Linked DNA regions of Mus musculus. The protein of the gene in region 1 interacts with the protein of each later gene in a pairwise test. Links are inferred from orthologs where the notes say so. Each region holds a gene or a part of one and is shown on either strand. Other genes may lie near its edges.

Region 1 (4,660 bases):
TCTGAGTTCAAGGCCAGCCTGAAGCTACACAGAGTAACCCTGCCTTTAAGAAAACACCCGCGCCCCTACCCCAAAAGAGTAAATATTGAGAGATGTGCTTTAAATCCAGGTGTGGCACACAATCGGCTTGGGGTTAGAAAGCACAGGACTGCCACATGTCACTCCTTCAGAGCCAAAACTGTATGAGAGTCTGGAGCAATGACTCTGCAGTCTTCTGGCTTCTAAGAGAAAACTTGGCTACGATTTCCCAGTCTGAAGAGAAAAAACACTCACCTTCATAATTTCTTACTGAGTCTTCTGTTCGGACGCCTGCCATATTATATTGGCTGCTCACAGACTGAGAAAGCATCCCTTCTAATCTCTCCAACGTGGCTTGCCCTTCCGCTGTTAAATGGGATAGTCCTTCTTCATAGGTATAAAATGTAGGGATGTCCCCTTGTCCTTGTTCTAAACAAACAGAACACTTTTAAATTATTTTATTCAACAATTGGAAAAAAAAAGAAAATGGATGATAAATAATGTATTTGCTGGAGATGTATAGGCTTCCAAAAACTTCCAGTGTTTATTGATAGGGTCATTGTCTAAAAAGACAAGACAAAAGAGATTGAGAAAACATTTAAAAAGATAATAAACTAGAAAACAGTAGTTCCCAGAGAACAGACTTTCTAGGAGTCAGAAGGAAGAGGGTGTTTCTTAAATTAGTGGATCCTTTATTATTCCAAGGTAGGAATTTTACAAGTAAACACAAAATTTGATACTAAAAGAATTTTGAATTAACATATGCTCCTTTTTAAAAAAATCAGAAAATCTAAAAAAAATACATAAAGGATAAAACATAAAACCACTTTTAAAATCTCTAGAAATGAGAACATATTTGTGTATATGAAGAATAATCCCAGAAATGGGTAGTCTTAAGGCCAGGAACTGGATTCATATGTAGGAAAGAACTTTAGATACTCAGATTGGTGCAAAAGGAACCATTTGTGCCTAAGGCTGCAGCCTATCAGGCAAGTGAGCCCATTCCTGCCTCACTTGTCTGGGGAGGAAAGGGGAAATAGCTGTAAATAAATGAAGTATGGTTCTAGGGAAAAGGAAATTAAAGTTCGAGAGAGAGCAAGAGGACTCCAGAGTCGGTGCAGGGCACTGGAGTTTGGTTTCTAGCACCCAGCTAGCAGTGCATACCGTAATTCTAGCTCACAGGGTTCCAAAACCCTTTTCTGGCCTCTGAGGGCACCAGGCACAATGTTGTGCACATATATGAATCCAGGCAACACACTCATACATGTAAAATAAACACATTAAATACAACTTTAAAGAGGTCTATATGAAAGAGCTCTCAGTGGGGAGGGTGGGGCAGCCTGAGGCGTGCTCTTGACCACCCACTTTCTCTCCCACTTGTTTCTATTTTCCATCCCCACTCCTAACATCTTACTGTTGTATGAGCTTGAGAAAGCCATTCATTTCCCCAATCTGTCTGCTGAAAGGGCCTAGGCACAAATATGCTAACGGATCATTCCCTTTATTTACTGCCATCTTACATGGGTTACTTCATCTTATGCCCTTAGCACAACTACATGCTTAAAATGAAACAGGAAAGCCGCAAGGCCCGAGTCACTGACCATGTGCCTCCACATCATACTCCTCTCCATCATAGTCGTCCGAGTCTTCATCCTCAGGGTCTGGATGCAAGGCCTGGCACTCACACATTGCTGTGAACATCGCCTCCACTGAAAGACATTAAACTATAATTAATACTTCTCCCAGTGTACCACGGAATTTTAGAATAAATATAACCACTATGATAAACCAATTTAAAAGCAGGCAGATTTTACTAGGATAACTATATTCATAAATCTGCAAAATTCAAATAGAAATTGATCATGAATAGTACTTGAGACAATGAAAAAGTCACAAAGTAAGAGTTTAAGACATTATGAGATCTCTTCATGGGTGGTTAGCCAAGGGCTGGCGAGATGGCTCAGCGGGTAGGAGAACTCACTGCTCTTCCAAAGGTCCTGAGTTCAAATCCCAGCAACCACATGGTGGCTCACAACCATCTGTGCAGCTACAGTGTACTCACATACATAAAATAAATAAAGAAATCTTTTTTAAAAAAAAGAAAAAGGCCAGGCCAGGTGATATGGTTCAGGCCTTTGATACCAGCACTCATAAGGCAGAAGCAATCAGATTTCTTTGAGTTTAAGGCCTGGTCTACATATCCAGTACTGTATAGGATAAAGCCTCTGTCACATGACATACTGTCTAGTCTCCACATTTTCACTCTGAAAGTGCTTCCTGCAGTTGACATTGTGTCAGCAACATCAACCAATAAGATTAACCAGAATCTTCTTGCACAAAATGCACCAGGTACCACACTGTTCACAATATTCTCTTTTTCTTCACAACCTGTGATGGTAGAAAGTACCTGCTCAATGGCTTTAAGGAGGCTAAGCTGAGATAAAGCAATAGAATGGAAGTAACTGTAATGAAGGTGAGGTGCGTGTGCCAGTGGGAGAGGGGGCACACAGAGAAAGATCAGTGTCACCAACACTCACATGCTGACTTATCACTGGGCACAAATCGAAATTCAGAAATGGGTTCAACATCATCATTGTCTTCCTCATCTTCATCAGAGAGAGGTTCTTTTGATTCTTCTATAAGAGAAATAAAAGTAAACTTTTTAGACATTTAAAGGTTTTGTTTTTTACGGCTTTACTTCTGCATGCCTGTATAAGCGTCTATGTACAAAATACATGCAAGAATCACAAGAGGACATTAAGTCCCCCGGAGCTAGAGTTAGAAGCACTGTGAGTCACCTAACATGGGTCCTGGAAACCTAACTCTGGTCTTCTCAAAGAGCAGTAGGAGCTCTTAACTGCTGGTCTGTCTCTCCAGTCTCAAGGAATAAAAACTTTTAAATAAAAAAGTATTTACTTCACATTTTAAAGACCCTGGAGCTAGATCCTGACAGTACTGACCCAGATTAAACAGTACTGGTAGCTAGATCCTGACAGTACTGACCCAGATTAAACAGTACTGGTAGCTAGATCCTGACAGTACTGACCCAGATTAAACAGTACTGGTAGCTAGATCCTGACAGTACTGACTCAGATTAAACAGTACTGGTAGCTAGATCCTGACAGTACTGACTCAGATTAAACAGTACTGGTAGCTAAGATCCTGAAATACTTGTTGTACTTGAAAAGGAGAAGCAAATATATACACAAAAAATATAACAAACAGGCTAGGAATTTACTGGTATATCTAAATATTGCAATTCACTTTTTATTGGTATTACTGCAGAGCTGGAAAGCGCTCAGCAGGAACACACTTGTAACGCACGCACTGAGCGCGCATCACTGGGAGCACTAGGACTATTTCAGATACATGGAGAGTTTGTAGATAAAACAAAATGTCCAAGGAGAACAGGGGCTGAAAATAATGGCTTAGTGGTAGTGACTTTGCACAGGAACTCGTGGGTTCAAGTCCTTGCATTGGGAAACTGATTATATAAATATATCAACAGATACATTTTAAAAAGGAACTCGATAAAAAAAGCCAGTTGCAGAATATACAGTATCATTTACATTAAGATTTTAAACATAAAACCATTACATTGGGTGGAGGCATAGACATATTCAGTAAAGGTTAAAAGCACATATAGACGGGCTAGAGAACTGGCTCAGTGATGAGAGCACTTGTTACTCTCGCAGAGAGCCCAGACTCAATTCCTGACACTCACCGTAGCTCGTAACTGTCCGTAACTCCAGTGCCAGGAGATCTACCCGCTTCTTTTTGACCTTGACAGGTACCAGGCATACATGTGATGCAGGCAAAACACTCACATACATGAAATAATAATAAAAACCAAAACAAAGCACAGACAGGAAGGACACACGCTACCTTTACAGTACTGTTTGAGTCAGAGAGTAGAGGATGAAATGGGGAGCCCCACAAAACAGCTTTCGAATTGGGCATAGTGGCACACATCTATAATTCCAGCCAGGTAGATCTTTATGAGTTCAAGACCAGTGTGATCTATACAGTGACTGCCAGGAAACAGAGAGACACCCCCCACCCAAACAAAGGGCAGCTTTTAACAATATTCAGTTATTTTCCCTTAAAAACTTATAGTATCTGGGAAAAGCGATATAGAATTTATACTGAATACTAAATAGAATATATATTTTCTATGTTTGAATCACTACACAGTTAAAAAAAAATAGATCAATAAAACTGATGCCACAAAACGAACATGTTTGCTGAAATTAGCAATCTTAAAATACAAATCACGGGCTGGCGAGTGGCTCAGCAGGTAAAGCACTTGCTGCATGTGCCCAACACCACTGTTCCATCCCCAGAGCCATTGAAAGGCGGAAAGAACCAAATCCATATGTACACACATGTACTGCACACACTAATAGAAACACAAACTGGGCTAGATAAGATACACATGAGCAGATGGGCTGGGATGCAACTCAGTGGCAGAGTGTGCACCAAGCACATTCACAGCCCTGGATTCAGTCTTTAGCTACAGCAAAGAAGAGAAAAGTAAAAATTTACACTTAAAGGTACCATTAAAAAAACCTTTAAGTCGGGTGGTGGTGGTGCACTCCTTTAATCCCAGCACTTGGGAGGCAGAGGCAGGTGGATTTCTGAG
Region 2 (5,183 bases), on another chromosome or scaffold:
CTGAGGCCTGCAGGCAGCATCTGTGAGTTCTGAGGTAGAAACGAAAATGCATCCCAGACTCAGTCTTTGCTCACACCAATGCATCAGAAGCTAATATTTAACTACTGCAGGCCAGGCTTGCATTCCATTTACTACTTGTATTTCCCTTTAAAGACAGGATCTCACTGCGCCCAGGCTGGCCTCAAACTATGGCAATCCTCCTACCTCCACTTGTGGAACTACAGCTGGGACCCACTATTCATGATCATTCCCCACTGGGTTTCTCTGTGAGGACCTAGAACTAGCTATGTAGATAAGGCTGGCCTCAAACTCACACCTGTTTCTGCCTCTACCTCCTGAGTGCTGGATTAAAGGTTTAAGGGATGCACTGCTATCAACACCACTTAGCTAATCATCTTTCAAAGTATTATCATCCTCCAGGATATGAGAGAGGTCATGGAAGGTAACAAAACTTACAACCAATAAACTGAAGGTCAGCCCAGATCTGCATGACTCCCAGAAGCATCAACTATTATTTTTAAAATATTGATTTTTATTATTTGTGTGTATGTGCATGTAGTTACCCACAGAGACCAGAAGAGGGCATCAGATCACTTGCAGCCAGAGTTCTAGGTAGGTGTGAATCACCTAATGTAGTTGCTGGAAACTGAACTCTTATTTTTCAGGGAGAGCAACAAGTTTTGTTTTGTTTTAAAGATTTATTTATTATTATATCTAAGTACACTGTAGCTGTCTTCAGACACTACAGAAGAGGGCGTCTGATGTCCGCTCTCTTTACAGATGGTTGTGAGCTACCATGTGGTTGCTGGGATTTGAACTCAGGACCTTCGGAAGAGCAGTCAGTGCTCTTAAAATCTCTGAGCCATTTCTCCAGCCCCCAGCAAGCTCTTTTTAAAGCACTGAGCAATCTCTGCAGCTTCCCTAACTGTTATTTGTAAACATTTACTGCTTTGGAGTCACAGACCTATGTACACATACTGGTAGCTGGAATTACTCTTTATTATTTTTGCTACACTCTTTTTTTTCTCGTATGAGTTTTTTGTTTGTTTGTTTGGTTTTTTTTTGTTTTTGTTTTTTTTCGAGACAGGGTTTCTCTGTGTAGCCCGAGTGCTGGGATTAATGGCCTGCGCCACCACACCCGGCTTCTTCTTCTTTTTTAAAAAATTGGATATTTTCTTTATTTACATTTCAAATGTTATCCCCCCCAACTTATCTTTAATAATGAAGATACAAGTCAAGTCTTCTCAGTTCTCCAGCCCTCTAGCCCCTAAGCAAGGTTATCAAGGCCAGTGCTCCCATACCACCTTACATGCCCCACCTTATATTATATTTACCCTCTGTGTAACCAACTTTAACCACCTCAGATCCTGAGTTTTACTTCCTCACTCTCTACATCCTATGAATCCCCACAGCTCTGTAGACCATTCGTGTGATTTGACTTTTAGACTATGAAAGGTCTTAGTCTGCACCTCAGTCTGGGCCAGCTTCTAACTTGGCCACACTGGTCAGAACCATCCTGCTGGTCAACCACTGATGTGTGTTCAAAGGTTTCAAGAGTCTACAAATAAAGTTATTTTGCTGGGCGGTGGTGGCACACGCCTTTAATCCCAGCACTCGGGAGACAGAGGCAGGCGGATTTCTGAGTTCGAGGCCAGCCTGGTCTACAGAGTGAGTTCCAAGACAGCCAGGGCTATACAGAAAAACCCTGTCTGGAAAAAAAAAAAAAAGTTATTTTAAAGAGAAACATGAGGGCTGCATATGAAGTTCACTTGTTGAGCATGCCCAGTACATGAAAGAAAACAAAAGCAAACAAAACCCGGCTTCAATGAAACTATAATTTTCGAAGCACTATTAGGAACCAAGTAGACCTTAACGGATGTGACAAGAACCCATAAACATATTTCCAGTGGTACAGCATTTAAGCATTTACCCCAACTCCTGAATCGTTAAGAGCAAATGATACAGCCAGGCAAATCCTAGCACTCAGGAGACAGAGGCATGTGGATCTGTGTGTTCCAGGACAGCCAGGACTACACATACATGTTACTTAACTGTATCTCACTGTGTAACTCCGGATGGCCCTGGACATATGTAGACCAAGCTGTCCTTGAACTCACACCTCTGCGTTCAGTGTTGGGATTACAAGCATGTGTCACAATACCAGGCTCACTCTTAAACTAATCTTTTACACTTAAGACGAAAGGTATTTCTTCTGTGTTTTGCCTACCTACTCTGAAGTAACTTTGTCAACAACAACGACAAAAAGGATCAGGACACCCGGCACCCCCACCTTCCACCAACTCGCTAAAATAAGGACCTACCTCAGGTCATTCTTGAGTTCCACGACTACATCCTTGCCCACAAGAGACTTGAAAAAGGAGTAGAAGAGCTATTGGAAAAGAGGGAGGAACTATCACATGAAAAGGGACGGGGAGGAGGAGCCCGTGACAGTATTTTGAAATACTAGTCTTTGTAGCCCCTCCTAGTAGTTCTCAAAACTTCATAACCAACAACAATCCGTTAAACGGGACTCTGCAGTTCACGGAGCCACGGAGTGACAGGACCTGCGTTGCACCCCTCGACGCTAGAACCCACTCTCTGAGTCGACCACCTCCCAGCTGAGACCGCTTCCCAACCGCACCCTCACAAAGTCCTCGTCAACAGCACAGAAGTGCAAGGCTCGCTTCCCGTTCTCCCCCGGCGCCCGTGGGCTTTCTCTTGGACTTGCTAAAGGTTTCCCCCAAAACACCATCGGCTCCGAGCAGCCTCCTCACACTGGGGTGTGGGCAGTAAGGCTGTACGGAAAACCCTGGGGCCTGGCTGCCGCCCCAAGCGACCGACACGAGTGCCCGCACCCACGCCCGCACGGTTCGAACCGCCCGCCGCGAGCGGCGGCGCTCCCTTTTGACGTCACGGTACCCACCATGGTGCTGGCGCCACGCGGGGCGGCCTGGACCGCGAAGGAAGGCGCCGGGGACTGCGAGCCGGAGGCAGGGCGGGAGCCGGAGCGCGAGCCCGCGCGTGAAGCAAGACTGGATCACGCAGGCGCACGGGGAGCCGCGAAAACCTCGGCTGAATTCAGGCTCAAAGGGAGCGGGGTAGGGCAGAGCCGAGAGGACCGCCAAACCGGTAGAGGGGCGGAACTTCCTGTCCCCCCCACTTCCTCCCGAGCAGCCGCTTTCTCACAAGCGCATGCGTGGGCCGTGGCAGCTGCGCGTTGGACGTAGTTCGTCTCTTTTTCTGATGGTTGTTGAGACTTTTCTCTCTGCCGCGTGATTAGCTCGTAGTCTACGTTTTCTATGGGGAATTATTGGGAAGATTGAGAAAATTATGACTTGCGTATTCTTTAGTAAAATTTAAAATGTTGCTAAGAGCTGGACAGCGTTCGTGCCCAACTGGAATCCTGGAGTTGAGACGGGAGGATTCTGGTTTAGAGGTCAACTAAAGCTATTATAGCAAGACCCTGTGTCAGAGAATAAAATATACACCAATACACACTGGTTATGGTGTGTGTGAGTGTGAGAGAGAAACCGGAACACAAATCCTGATTCTTATCAAAGGTTCCCAGTAAGTAAGTTTCTCTCAATTTCAGTCTTTTGGGGTGCAAAGTTGACCCAGAGCGGACACATTCTAAGCAAAGCAAATGAACAACATCCCAGCTCTAATGTTATATATATATATATAATTTGGCATAGGACTCGTCTGTAAAGGACTAAACTGACTGGAACTCAGTGACAGAAATATTTTACTTTATCTTAGCTTTTTTTGTGTGTGTTTGACAGTTTTTGCCTGTATGTTATGTCTGTACTACATGAGTTCCTGGTAGAAGAGAGGGCTTCAAATGCCCTGGGCCTGGAGTTACAATGGTGAGCCTCCTTGTGGGTGCTGGCAATCAAATCTGGGTGTTCTGGAAGAGCAACAGATGCTTGTAACTGCTGATCCATCCCTGCATTACTGAAATATTTTCAACTAGATCACCGACAGATACTACTTTGGATGTTCTGGGAACAGCATTACCAGGCTTGTAACATGCTGGTTGTGAAGGAGTTCACAAGAGCTGACTGATTTAAAAAAAAAACAAAAAACTAGAAAAGCCTCAGTAGGCAAGTTCCAGAGAAGAAAGAGATGGTCTGAGATGAAAGGGCTTTGTTGTTATTTCGATTGACTTGTTTTATGTAAGTATGCTGTGGCTTTCTTCAGACATCCAGAAGAGGGCATCAGATCCCACTACAGATGATTGTGAGCCACTCTGTGCTTGCTGGAAATTGAACTTAGGACCTCTGGAAGAGCAGTCAGTGCTCTTAACTGCTGAGCCATCTCTCCAGCCCTATTGTTTTTTTTTTTTTAAATAATTACATTAAGTGGGAAGTTGCTAGGTTGTATCTTCTGTGGATATCATGTCTGGATAAATAGGGAAACACTTTCTATTCTGTCTTCTCTTCTTGAGGCTGGCTGTAGGTGCAAGGCAGTCACGGGACACAGGTGAAAATTCTGAGAGTCTAAACCTGCTGATTGCAGGGTGGAATTCTCTAGTGTAATAATCTAAATAGATTGTAGCCAGGGTTTCCTGGGGGTGGGAGTGAGGGCTGGAGCATGCATGACTGTGTAGGCCAGAGATAGATACTGCCTGTTCTTTCCACCTTATTTAATATTTTAAAATTGTATATGTGTGAGCGTTTTTCCTTGCATGTCCATCTGTGTACACATGGGCAGTGCTCCCAGACACTAGAAGAGAGTGTTGGATCCTCTAGAGTTACAGTTGTTAGCCACCACATAGGTGCTGGGAATCAAACCCTGGTCCTGTGGAAGAGCAACACGTGTTCTTAACCACTTAGTCATTTCTCTCATTTTCTGAGATAGGATCTACCATAGATCCTGGAGCTGACAGGTTCATTCAGCTAGACTGACTTGCCAGCAAGACCCTAAGATGCTTCTTCTGTCTGCCCTACCTACCCACTCCCCCAGTGCTGGCATTACCGGTGCACATCACTGTGTTCAGAGCTGGATCCAGCATGGTACCAAGCAGGATTTGTTCCCAAGTTCAGCAGAATCCTTAAGATTTGAATCGAAAACAAGCTGTCACTGGATAGAAGCAGTCAGTACATTTAGCAACTGCGTCCTTTGGGCCCAGGGTGCCTGAGAATTAGGAAATGTTTGTCTTGGCAGGTGGAGGTATCGTGATC
Region 3 (5,227 bases), about 79 Mb from region 1:
TTTGAGGACAGCCTGGTCTACAAAGTGAGTTCCAAGACTGCCAGGACTATAGAGAGAAATTCTGTCTTGAAAAGAAAAAAGAAAGAGGACAGCTAAAGGGCCAGAGAGATGGCTTAACAGTTAAGAGCACTTGTTGCTCTTGTAGAAGACCCAGGTTTTTTTCCCAGCACCCACATGGCTGCCTCACCACCACATGTAACTACCTCTAGGGGCATCCAACTCTCCTTTTCTGGCTCCTATGGGTACCAAGAACAGACACATCCAGGCAAAACACCCATACATGTTTTATATACATGTAAAGAGGGCAGAGACTCCTGACCTCCAGCCCATGATCGCCTGGGAGGACACAGACAGAGATACCAGATAGACAGAGTTGTGGGTAGAGCAGAAGGCCCTGGGTCCTCCACGAGCCTCTTAAATAGGCTTCCCTTTCCCACTTGCACATTGTCAGAGAATCCCTCTGTCCACAATACACAAAAGTCCAATTAAACTGTCTCCTTTGCAGACAGGGCTGTTATATACCGCAGCACCCACAGGCCCTGTCCTAGTGCTCAGCCCAACACACTCTTTTAAGACCCAAGAGCAGAGAAGACCACTGGAAAACATAAAAACCAAAAAGCACAGGGTTTTATTTCTCGCCCACTGGGCAGGGTTCTGCAGGCCTTCGCAGGGCAGGGAGCAGGCTCTACTTGCCAGCGATGAGTGGGTTCCGCAGCACCACGATGACCGAGTCCCCGCGCAGGAACATCTTGGAGATGTAGCGGTCCTTGTTGACAGGCTTGGATTTCTTCTTGCCCTTGCCGCTCTTGGGAACCTCAGTCCACATCTCCTTCACATTTTCCAGCACCATGTTGCAGTGCCTGATGGGGTAGGGGTGGGGGGGGAAGCTGGAGTAAGGGGGGGCATTCCGAGTGCCCACCTTTGCCTGGCACTGTGTGAACTCTCCAGCAGCAGGCATAAGGAAAGCCCAGGCTCCACAGTGGGGATGGGCAGGCTGCAAAGTGATTTCACTTTATAGTGTCCCTTCTGTGCCTCAGTTTCCCCCTTCATGAAATGGAGACAGTCTATTTCATAGGGCTGGTGTGAAGATTGGATGAATAAAGAACTCAGGACCCAGCAGAGTAAAGCCCACCAAAATGGCCCTGGCTCTGGCGTTAACTCTAACTCTGAGAGAAACAGCAGGAGAGAAGCACTTGCTCCCTCCAGAGGGTCTTAGGGTGCTGGGGTTAGACACGGCTCCCAACACGCGCACTCCAGTGCTGCACAGTCCTGTCCTCATGGGGCCGGGTGGCCATTGTTCACACTTGGATCAGTTCTTTCCACAAATGCTTGCTTGAGGACAGTGAATAAGAGCAAAGTACAGTGCCAGATGTGTATGGCTAAGTCACAAGGCAAGTCCCATGCTAACTAAAACAATAAAGCAGGACGGCATGCTTCATGCAATCCTGTAATCCCAGCGCTCGGGAGATGGGAGCAGGAGGATTAGAAGTGTAAGGTTAGCCTCTGCCACATCTGTAGCCAGTTCGAGCTACATAGTAAAGACCCTGTCTCAAAACAAACTACAAAGCAATACAAGATATTTGACACTGATGTCTGGTCTACAGATAAACAAATCAAATATCGAAATTCCAGTCCAATTTCCTGCCAGGGGATTCTGATAACTACTAGACATGTCCATAGCATACAGACTCATATGCAGACAAAACACCTAAACACGTAAGATATGTATTATAAAAAGGTTAAGCATCGCCACTTTCTACATTTTTGAGCTAGGTCGTGCCATGAGACACTGGCTGGCCTCCAACTCATAGTGATTCCCCGAGTGCTGAGATTAAAGGTGCTTTGTCACCGTGTGTGCCCACCTTATTATCCTTCTGGAATGACCTTTCCTTCAGGCCCCTCGGACCCAGACCCAGCCCTCCCCAAGACAGCACTCACCTGTCAAAGGCCTTCACCCGGCCCAGCAGCTTCTTGTTGTTGCGACAGTTAATGAGCACTTGCGTGTTGTTCTTGACCGACTGCGTGAGCACTGAGAGGGGACCTGTGTTGAATTCCTCCTCCTCCCGCTTCTGCAGCTCCTCTGGGGTCATCTCACTCTTGGGTTTATTGAGGAGACTCCTGGATAGAGAACCCAGGGGTGAGATGGGTTCAAGTTGGAAATGTACGTGATCAAAGCCACACTGTCCAGTGTCTCCCCAGCCCCCTTTCTGGTGCAGTCTTTTCTGGAGGCAGGAGAGACATTTCCATGGTAGCCTGCCCCGGCTCATCTACCTAACCTCTTCCACCCACCGCTGACCTTGAATTCTCAATTCTCCTGACTCCACTGCCTAAGGTCTGAGATGACAGAGGCTCACCATCATGCCTGGCAGTTGATTCTTCTTTCAAACCTTACTCTATCCTTATATCTTGTCATCTGCCACCATGGTACATCCAAACCTTGGCCCTTTCTATCCGCAACCTAAACTTCAATCATCTCTCTCCATGAACCTCCGCCCCACCCCACAACATCTCACTGTAGAAGCCTGGCTGCCCCAGAACTCAGACTTGTCTCTGCCTCCTGAGTATTGGGAGTACAGGCACGTGCCACTATGTCTAGTTTGTGTGTGGTTAAGGACCAAACCCAGTACCCACAGTAGGTAAGTACTCTGTCCACTGAGCTAAATCTGCATCCCAAGAACTGGGCTTTCAATGCATCCTACTGTGCTACCTACTGGCATTATATCTTTCCTGCTCAATTCTCCATCCAAACCTGATTATCTAAGGTGTATGTACCTATTTATTACTCTATGGCTTTCCTACTCCACTCTTTTTACAAGCACCAGGGAGATTCCCCCACCCCCTTGGAGGCAAGGACCTTTTATTTACCATGTGTCTTAACTTACAAGCAGTCTACATAGTATATGCTCAATGAATAAACACGCACCAAACCACTGTAGTACCCTGCTACTCTGACAGTCTCTAGTTAGGTTCTCTAATTTATCCTGGTTACGTCCCATACTTTTCACTATTTCTAACAGTTCTTCCTTCCCCGCCAAGCTCTTTATTCATAAGACCACTTCCATTTAAAATTACTATTACTTTTGGAAGCGGTCTCGCTATGAAGCTGGCCAAGGCCAACTAGCGAACCTCCTGCATCAGCCTCTCGAGGCCTGGGATTCCAGGCATGTGCCATCAGACTCAGCTTTCCCTTTATGGTTCCTTTCCACAAGACTCAGGACCTCGGAGAGTCTCATGCCCGTTATGGAATAAAGCTGTCCCCTCTCCGGAACTCAAGATCCGAGCGAGGCCCCAAGCCCGATCTCAAATACCCCAGAAGGAAAAACATTACTTTTGCCCGAGGAACTCTACCCTCAGCTATAAAAACACCCCATTTCGACCGTTATTCAGCTAAACTGTCCACCTCCATCTCCACGGCCCCGCCAAAGCCCAGCCCGGCCTCACATGGTGTAGGTTTCGCTCGCAGATCACTCCCGCCTCCAAGCGCGTTGCTCCAGCCTTTGGCGTACAGGGCGAGAAGGGCGGGACTTCCGTCTCCTGCGGCTCACTTCCGTCGGCGCCTGCGCAACCAAATACCAGCGGCTGTGGGCGTGGCCTGTTACCATAGCGACCCTTCAGGCTGCACTCTCCTGTAGAAAATGCCTATAAGGAGGATTTGAAGCTTCTGAGGATCACAATAGGGTGTCTGCTCATGAGGAAAATAATACGGGGTCTGACTAGAATTATTTTCCCGTCAAACCGTCCAGTTGGAAGATGGAAAACACAACCCCATTTCCAAATACCCTCGGACACTTTTCTTGAGGGCATGGCTTCAGGTAAACCAATCGGCTCCTTGTTTTAGGGATGGATGCCGCCCCTTTTTTCCTTGAACGACAGTTTCTTGATCGACTTCCGTGAGGGGCGTGACCCCGCGCCTTGGAAGGTTTCGCACATTCGGACGCAGCCCATTGACTGGTCCTCTTCCGTGGAGGCGGGCCTTAAGGTTTCCGCCCTCCTTTTTGGGTGGGGCGGCGCTTAGGACAGCCAATCGCAATCGTCTCAGGGAAGGACGCAGTTACTCTGCTTCTTTATTGGGTTTTGTAACCTCAGCGAGGCGGATCTTGGCCTAAAACTCAAACCACCATACCGGGATTGGTTTCAGAGCAAAGCTACCATGAGTCCCGGGAGCCGCGGGCGGCCCCGGCAGCGGCTCGAGGATCGTGGCCTCATGAAACCACCCTCACTTTCCAAGCGCCGTCTTCTGCCGCGAGTGCAGTTCCTGCCCCTGCTGCTGCTGGCGCTGGCTATGGGCTTGGCTTTCTATATCGTCTGGAACAGCTGGCACCCTGGGGTTGAGGAGATGTCACGGAGCCGGGATCTGCGGGTGAGCCCTGGCTGGTGCCCAGCCAGCGTCATTTCCCTCTTTCCCTTCGTATTGAGTCTCAGGTTACCGTGGTCTTATCATTTGGCTTTTGCCGCCTGTGCCATTTATCCATGACTTGAGCGCGTGCCCCTACCCAACAAAATAAGGCTTCAGGCTTGTTTTGTGATAGACCCCACTGAAGATGACGAGTCCTCATAGCAACACTGGTAGAACTGAGTTCTATGCCCAAGCCATCTATTTAGAAATTTCCATCACCCGATTGCAATTTCCTCGTTAGGACTGCGGTAGGCTGGACCAGATTTGCTTTGAAGATTTCTCCCAGTCTAGGAAATCTTTGATGCTGGAGATTTGCATTACCAGGAAGAGCCAGGACTCCTAGTAGGCAACGGCGCCCAGGATAAGGTGGGAATGGGGTTGTTTTCATTTTTCTTTTTCCCATCCCATTTCCCAACCAAGGTCCCGCTGATCGGAAGCCTTTCAGAAGCCAAGCTGCGGCTGGTGGTAGGGCAGCTGGATCCGCAGCGTCTCTGGGGAACTTTCCTGCGTCCCTTATTGATTGTGCGACCCCCGGGTAGTTCTGGCAATCTCCAAGTGAGAAAGGTAAAGGGTTTTATTGTCAACCCCCAACTTCCTTTCCCCAGTTTGTCAGGAAATGGAACTCAGGCTCCGAAGATCCCAAAACAGCCAGGAGGCAGAAGTGATCTGATGGGGGTCGGGGGACAGAGATGGGGAGTAGGCGGGTAGGGGAGTGGTGGTGGTGGTGGCTGCAGCGGCAGGTGAACCTGACTAGATTCTCTTGGTGGTACACAAATCCCGCACTATACGACCCCCACTAAATATTATCCTATATTAGGCAGAAGCAGTGTA
Region 4 (5,112 bases), on another chromosome or scaffold:
TATCTTTTGGATAAGTACTATGTTGTATTTATACCAATTAATTACTTGAAACAGTGATACATCTGTCTTTTTGCTGTGTCAAGCCTGCAATATATTTTCCAAGTGGTTTGGTTTTTAAATAAAGTTTCATTGTCTCCACCTTTTTCTTATGGGTAGTGATATATCAGTAAATGGGAAACACCAAGAGGAAGGCAGAGAGCATCATAACTTGAAAGCTGTTAATGTTGAAAAGATAACTTAGGATTAAAGGTACATGGGGGGGGGGGCTGAAAAGATGGCTCAGCAGTTAAGAAAACTCTTCCGAAGGTCCTGAGTTCAAATCCCAGCAACCACATGGTGGCTCACAACCATCCTAATGAGATCTGGCGCCCTCTTCTGGAGTGTCTGAAGACAGCTACAGTGTACTTACATATTATAACTAAATTGTAAAAGGTGCATACTGTAATTTCAGTACTGTAAGGCAAGCTGAGGATTTCCCTCCTGCTTTGAGGTCAGTCTTTGCTAAAGACTATCATTATTCATGTTCGTTTTCTAGTTTCAACTAGCACAGCAAGTGGTGGGGAGAGTGTATAGCTAAGCATTCTTGTGCTATTTTTTTGTTGATGACAAACTAATCATGAGGAGAACCTCAATTGAAGAGCTGCTTCCATCTAACAGGTCTCTGGACATGTCTGTGGGTCATTAATGACTACCATGAGAGAGCCCAGTGCACTGAGGGCAGTGCCACCACCCTGGGAGAGTGCACACCTTTATTCCCAGCCCTCAGGAGGCAGGGGCAAGCTCAATACCTCAGGACTTGTGTGGTACTCCTCAGCTTTTATGTATGGACTGTAGTGTGCTAAGTGGGTTCTGAAGGCAGCGTTAGAATTGCAGAATTGATGAATCAGAAATACCCCAGACACTGGATTCACGTCCTCAAGAGAATCCGCCTAGCCACCTTCCTGCTACTGATGCGGACAAGCTATTCTGTGCTTCAGGAGCCCTCGGCTTCGCCTGGATGTGCTTAGGAAATTAAGGGCAGCGTGGTGCAGATGCCGTTGATTCTAGCACGGGAAGCAACAGTTCAAAGCCAGCGTTGACTACACAGTGAACTCGAAGCCAGCATGAATTACGTCAAAAACAATGAGGAAGGGGCAGGGGAAATGACAAAAATGTAAAGAGAAAAAAAGTGTAGTAAGTGGGAAAAGGAAAGAAAAGAAGTGACACACAGGCTGGAGAGACGCTTCAGCAGTTAAAACCACTGGCTGTTCTCCCAGAGCTCTGGAGTTCAATTCCAGCACCCACATGGTGGCTCACAAGCATCTATAGTAGGATCTGAGGTCCTCCCCTGGCGCGCAGGTGTACATGTAGAGCACTCATACATAAAATATAAATGAAGGGGTCTGTTTTTAAAGTGACCTGCCACTTCAATTTTACACAAAGGAAGCTTAGCCGAACACAGCCTCTCCGTCGTGGCCTGTCACTGGCGACGCAACCGGAAGCGTGGCTCTGGTCCGCAGGTTCAGACATCCCCATCAATATCGCGAGATGAAAGGTAATGTTCTCCGAAGGCGATTGGCTCGCGCGGCGGTGACGTCAGACACCAGCGCCAAGCCTGCCTTGCGCGCGTTTCTGAGCCTGCTCACTCCTTCGCCGTTGTGCCGAGCCCGCAGAGGAGTCGCCATGAGCAAAGCCCACCCTCCCGAGCTGAAGAAGTGAGTAGAGTCGGCCCTATCGAGACTTCTGTCTCGCTCGGGCTGCCGCCGCTGGTCCCGACGGTCGCGGGAGCCGGAAGTGGCGCTAAGGTCCGGTCGGCATGGTTACTGCAGTGCCGGTGCCTCTGTCTTCCCAAAGCTGGGGCTCTCCTAGGCGGGCAGCCAAAGGCAACCTGGTTGGGGACCAGGGCAGCGGTCGAGGTGCATGGTTGTGAGGAACCGGAGACTCGTGGGCTTAAAATGATCGATTGGAGTCGGACGTGATTGGCTGTGATCTATGGGGCCAATATTCAGGAAGCTTAGGCAGGAGAATTACCGCGAGTTCCAGACCAGCCTAGGCTTAAAAAAAAAAAAGACACTGTGTCTCAAAAAGTTTAAGGTGAGGTAGCGTTTTGTGTTTCAATAAATGTGCGCGTTCATTTGCGTTCATCAAGAGAGCTAGGTTTAGTTTTGGGGTTTTTTTTTCCCCTTTTTGGTGCTCAGAGACATGTTTAGTTATATGTTTGTGCACGTGGGTGCAGCTCCTGCGGAGGCCAAAGCGGGCATTGGATCTGCAGAAACAGAACTTGTAGGAGGTTGTGAGCCCTCTGGCGTGGTTAATAATAGCTGGACTCGTGTCCTCTGGACAAGCAATAAGCGCTGGGCCATCTGCAGCCCCAAGAACTAGGTTTCTGATACACTGTCCTTGTATTCAAGTTACATTTAAACGTTGTGTAATATCTTGCTCTGGCAATAAATCCATGGAAGGACATCCATTTTCTACTTGTAAAGAGCTAATTTCTGAAGAATTTTATTCTGTACCCAGTAAAATCAGACAGACCCTTTGGTCTCAGACACTTCTGACTGGCCTGAACCTGTCGCATATGCACATAGTCATTGGGTTGCTCAATACAAGATTAATACTGGGTCTTTTCTGGTGTAGCCAGAAAATAATCTGTCTTGTGTATAGCCTGTTTGCTACTGTAAAGTTCTGTCAAGACCCCAATGCAGGGGAAAGATAACAACATTTGCTGATTTTTGTATTTGAGTGCACATTTTAATCAAAGCCCTCTGTGTGAAACCCCTGCAGTTTTGTTTGAATCTGAATCTGTTAAACCGGGCCTAGAGAGTTGGCTCAGAGGTTGAGAGCACTGACTTCTCTTCCTAGAGGTCCTGAGTTCAATTCCCAGCAACCACATGGTGACTCACAACCATCTGTAATAGGATCTGGTACCCTATTCTGGCTTGCAGGCCTATAGGCAGAACACAACATAATAAAGATGTATTAAGCCATAAGTCTGACATTTTAAAAAGAAGTTATTCTGCACTGTTTGTTTTGATGATGAGCTAATAAATGAGGTCTGGATTTAGCAGGAATTGGCAAAATGGCATTGGTTTTGAACAAAAGCACTGTTCCCTACCTGTAATCTTCAGTGTCCTCTGATTCTTAACAGATATACTTGGGCCTTTCAGAGACTGGAACTAGTGATTGTGTCCATATTTTTATTGGCGTGTTTGGAGCAGAGCCTGTGTGAGCTACTTTGTCACTGAACTTCTCTTCTCTGAGTTGATGCCTTTTTCTCATCCCTACATTTTATCAAATTTGAAATACTTTTAGATCCGCCTCCTTATTTTCTCATAAACACCTCCTTTTACAGCTATTCACTCCTAGTTTAGCATAACTCCATAGTTCTTAATCATTTCTGGTCCCGTGTCTCAGTAGTTTCAAAGTTGAGCTCCTCCCAACTCCTAAAATGTGTTGCCACAGAAAGTCTTAACCACTGATGAATTCTGCTATACTAGTTTATATCACCACAAAGTCAAGTCCAGACTTCCTAACCCAGCTTTGAAGCCCCACCCCATCTGCAGTCCAGCAGCCATATTTTGCATGGTATATGACTAAAAACAATTTTCTGCACATTAGTGTCTCAGTTACTGACCTCTTGCTGTATAGAGGCATCGTGACCAAGACAACTCTTATAATAAAGAAAGCATTTGATGGGGACTTGCGTACAGTTTTAGAGGCCATGATCATCATGGAAGAACAGGCAGGCAGTAGTTGAGAGCGTTACATGCTGAACCGCAGCAGCAGGCAGGGCAGAGAGACACTAGGCTGGCTTTTGAAACCTCAAAGCCCACTCACTCCCAGTGCCACCTCCTCCAACAAGGCCACACCTCCTAATCCTCCCAAACACTTAATCAGCTGCGAACTAAACATGCACATAAGTGACTCCATGGAGGCCATTCTCATTCAACCTCCACACTGAATGTCAGTTCTCCATCTGTATAACATGGTAATAATAGTACCGGAATCGTAAGTGTTAAATATGTTCCTCTGTTGATTTACAAAATAACTCCTAGTAATTTATAAATGTTATTTATAAATCTATTTCCACCTTCAGATTCTTATGGCTTAAATTTATATTTAAATTCTATCATGGTCTATACATTAAAACTCAGTGAAGCAGCCGAGCAGTGGTGGTGCACGCCTTTAGTCCCAGCACTTGGGAGGCAGAGTCAGGTGGATTTCTGAGTTTGAGGCCAGCCTGGTCTACAGAGTGAGTTCCAGGACAGCCAGGGCTATACAGAGAAATCCTGTCTCAAAAAAAAAACCAAAACAAACAAAACAAAACAAAAAACAATTCAATGAAGCTCAGCCTGGTGGCATAGGCATGTAATGTCTGCTACTTGAGAAGCTGAGGCAAAGAACTACAAAACCAGGGTAGCTAAGAAACACTGTCTTAAACTGAAAAATAGAAGAGAATATACTTGAGTGGTAGAGTATTTGCCTAGAATGCTTGAGGCTCTAGATTCAGTCGTCAGTACAATAAGGAAAGAAAGGAAAGGAACTTTGATATTTTCTAGCCTGTTGCTGAAAGACAGCAGATTTAACAGGCTGATGAGATTGCTCCAAGGGTAAAGGCACTTGCCTCCACACTAGTCAACCTCTGGGACCACATGGTTGAAGGAGAGAACCAACTCCTTGAAGTTGTCCTCTGACTTCTGTATTGGCACCATACAAACAAATTTAATTTTTTTAAACATTTATTTTATTTATTATATTCTACCTACATGTATGCCTGCATGACAGAAGAGGATGCCAAATCCCCATTACAGATGGTTGTGAGACACCATATGGTTGCTGGGAATTGAACTCAGGACCTCTGGAAGAGCAGTCAGTGCACTCAACCTCTGAGCTATCTCTCTAATCTCTGTAATAACAGAGATCTCTGTAATAACACACACAAATGTAACCAAATCTTTGTAATTACATTAGTGTAAGTTCCCTAGCCCATGTCAACAGTTCCGGATTTGAGGCTGGGAAGATAACTTGGCAGTTAAGGGACCTGAGTTCAGTTCCCAGCATCTGCACTGGGCAAATCACAACTGCCTATGGCAGCTTTAGGGTATCTGATGACAACTGCCCTGGTACACACAC

The links.
Region 2: the proteins of Clns1a (region 1) and Lsm2 interact in binary tests that used the Homo sapiens proteins (3 or more experiments, as listed by UniProt). The link is inferred for Mus musculus from reciprocal best matches to the Homo sapiens genes CLNS1A and LSM2.
Region 3: the proteins of Clns1a (region 1) and Snrpd2 interact in binary tests that used the Homo sapiens proteins (3 or more experiments, as listed by UniProt). The link is inferred for Mus musculus from reciprocal best matches to the Homo sapiens genes CLNS1A and SNRPD2.
Region 4: the proteins of Clns1a (region 1) and Snrpg interact in binary tests that used the Homo sapiens proteins (3 or more experiments, as listed by UniProt). The two-hybrid records come from large-scale screens. The link is inferred for Mus musculus from reciprocal best matches to the Homo sapiens genes CLNS1A and SNRPG.

The regions. Positions count from the first base shown.
Region 1 is NC_000073.6:97,709,694-97,714,353, reverse strand, and holds part of Clns1a (methylosome subunit pICln), read right to left. Parts: intron 2,655-4,660; coding exon 2,556-2,654; intron 1,728-2,555; coding exon 1,620-1,727; intron 448-1,619; coding exon 274-447; intron 1-273. UniProt on the Homo sapiens protein: Involved in both the assembly of spliceosomal snRNPs and the methylation of Sm proteins.
Region 2 is NC_000083.6:34,979,826-34,985,008, reverse strand, and holds the start of Lsm2 (U6 snRNA-associated Sm-like protein LSm2), read right to left. Parts: upstream 3,156-5,183; 5' UTR 2,927-3,155; coding exon 2,924-2,926; intron 2,880-2,923; exon of another isoform or gene 2,753-2,879; coding exon of another isoform or gene 2,642-2,752; intron 2,390-2,641; coding exon 2,322-2,389; intron 30-2,321; coding exon of another isoform or gene 1-29. UniProt on the Homo sapiens protein: Plays a role in pre-mRNA splicing as component of the U4/U6-U5 tri-snRNP complex that is involved in spliceosome assembly, and as component of the precatalytic spliceosome (spliceosome B complex).
Region 3 is NC_000073.6:19,148,109-19,153,335, reverse strand, and holds Snrpd2 (small nuclear ribonucleoprotein Sm D2), read right to left. Parts: upstream 3,499-5,227; 5' UTR 3,444-3,498; coding exon 3,442-3,443; intron 2,119-3,441; coding exon 1,939-2,118; intron 861-1,938; coding exon 686-860; 3' UTR 610-685; downstream 1-609. Other genes in the region: Qpctl (glutaminyl-peptide cyclotransferase-like protein), read left to right, coding at 4,151-4,360, 4,817-4,960. UniProt on the Homo sapiens protein: Plays a role in pre-mRNA splicing as a core component of the spliceosomal U1, U2, U4 and U5 small nuclear ribonucleoproteins (snRNPs), the building blocks of the spliceosome.
Region 4 is NC_000072.6:86,369,921-86,375,032, forward strand, and holds the start of Snrpg (small nuclear ribonucleoprotein G), read left to right. Parts: upstream 1-1,619; 5' UTR 1,620-1,662; coding exon 1,663-1,694; intron 1,695-5,112. UniProt on the Homo sapiens protein: Plays a role in pre-mRNA splicing as a core component of the spliceosomal U1, U2, U4 and U5 small nuclear ribonucleoproteins (snRNPs), the building blocks of the spliceosome.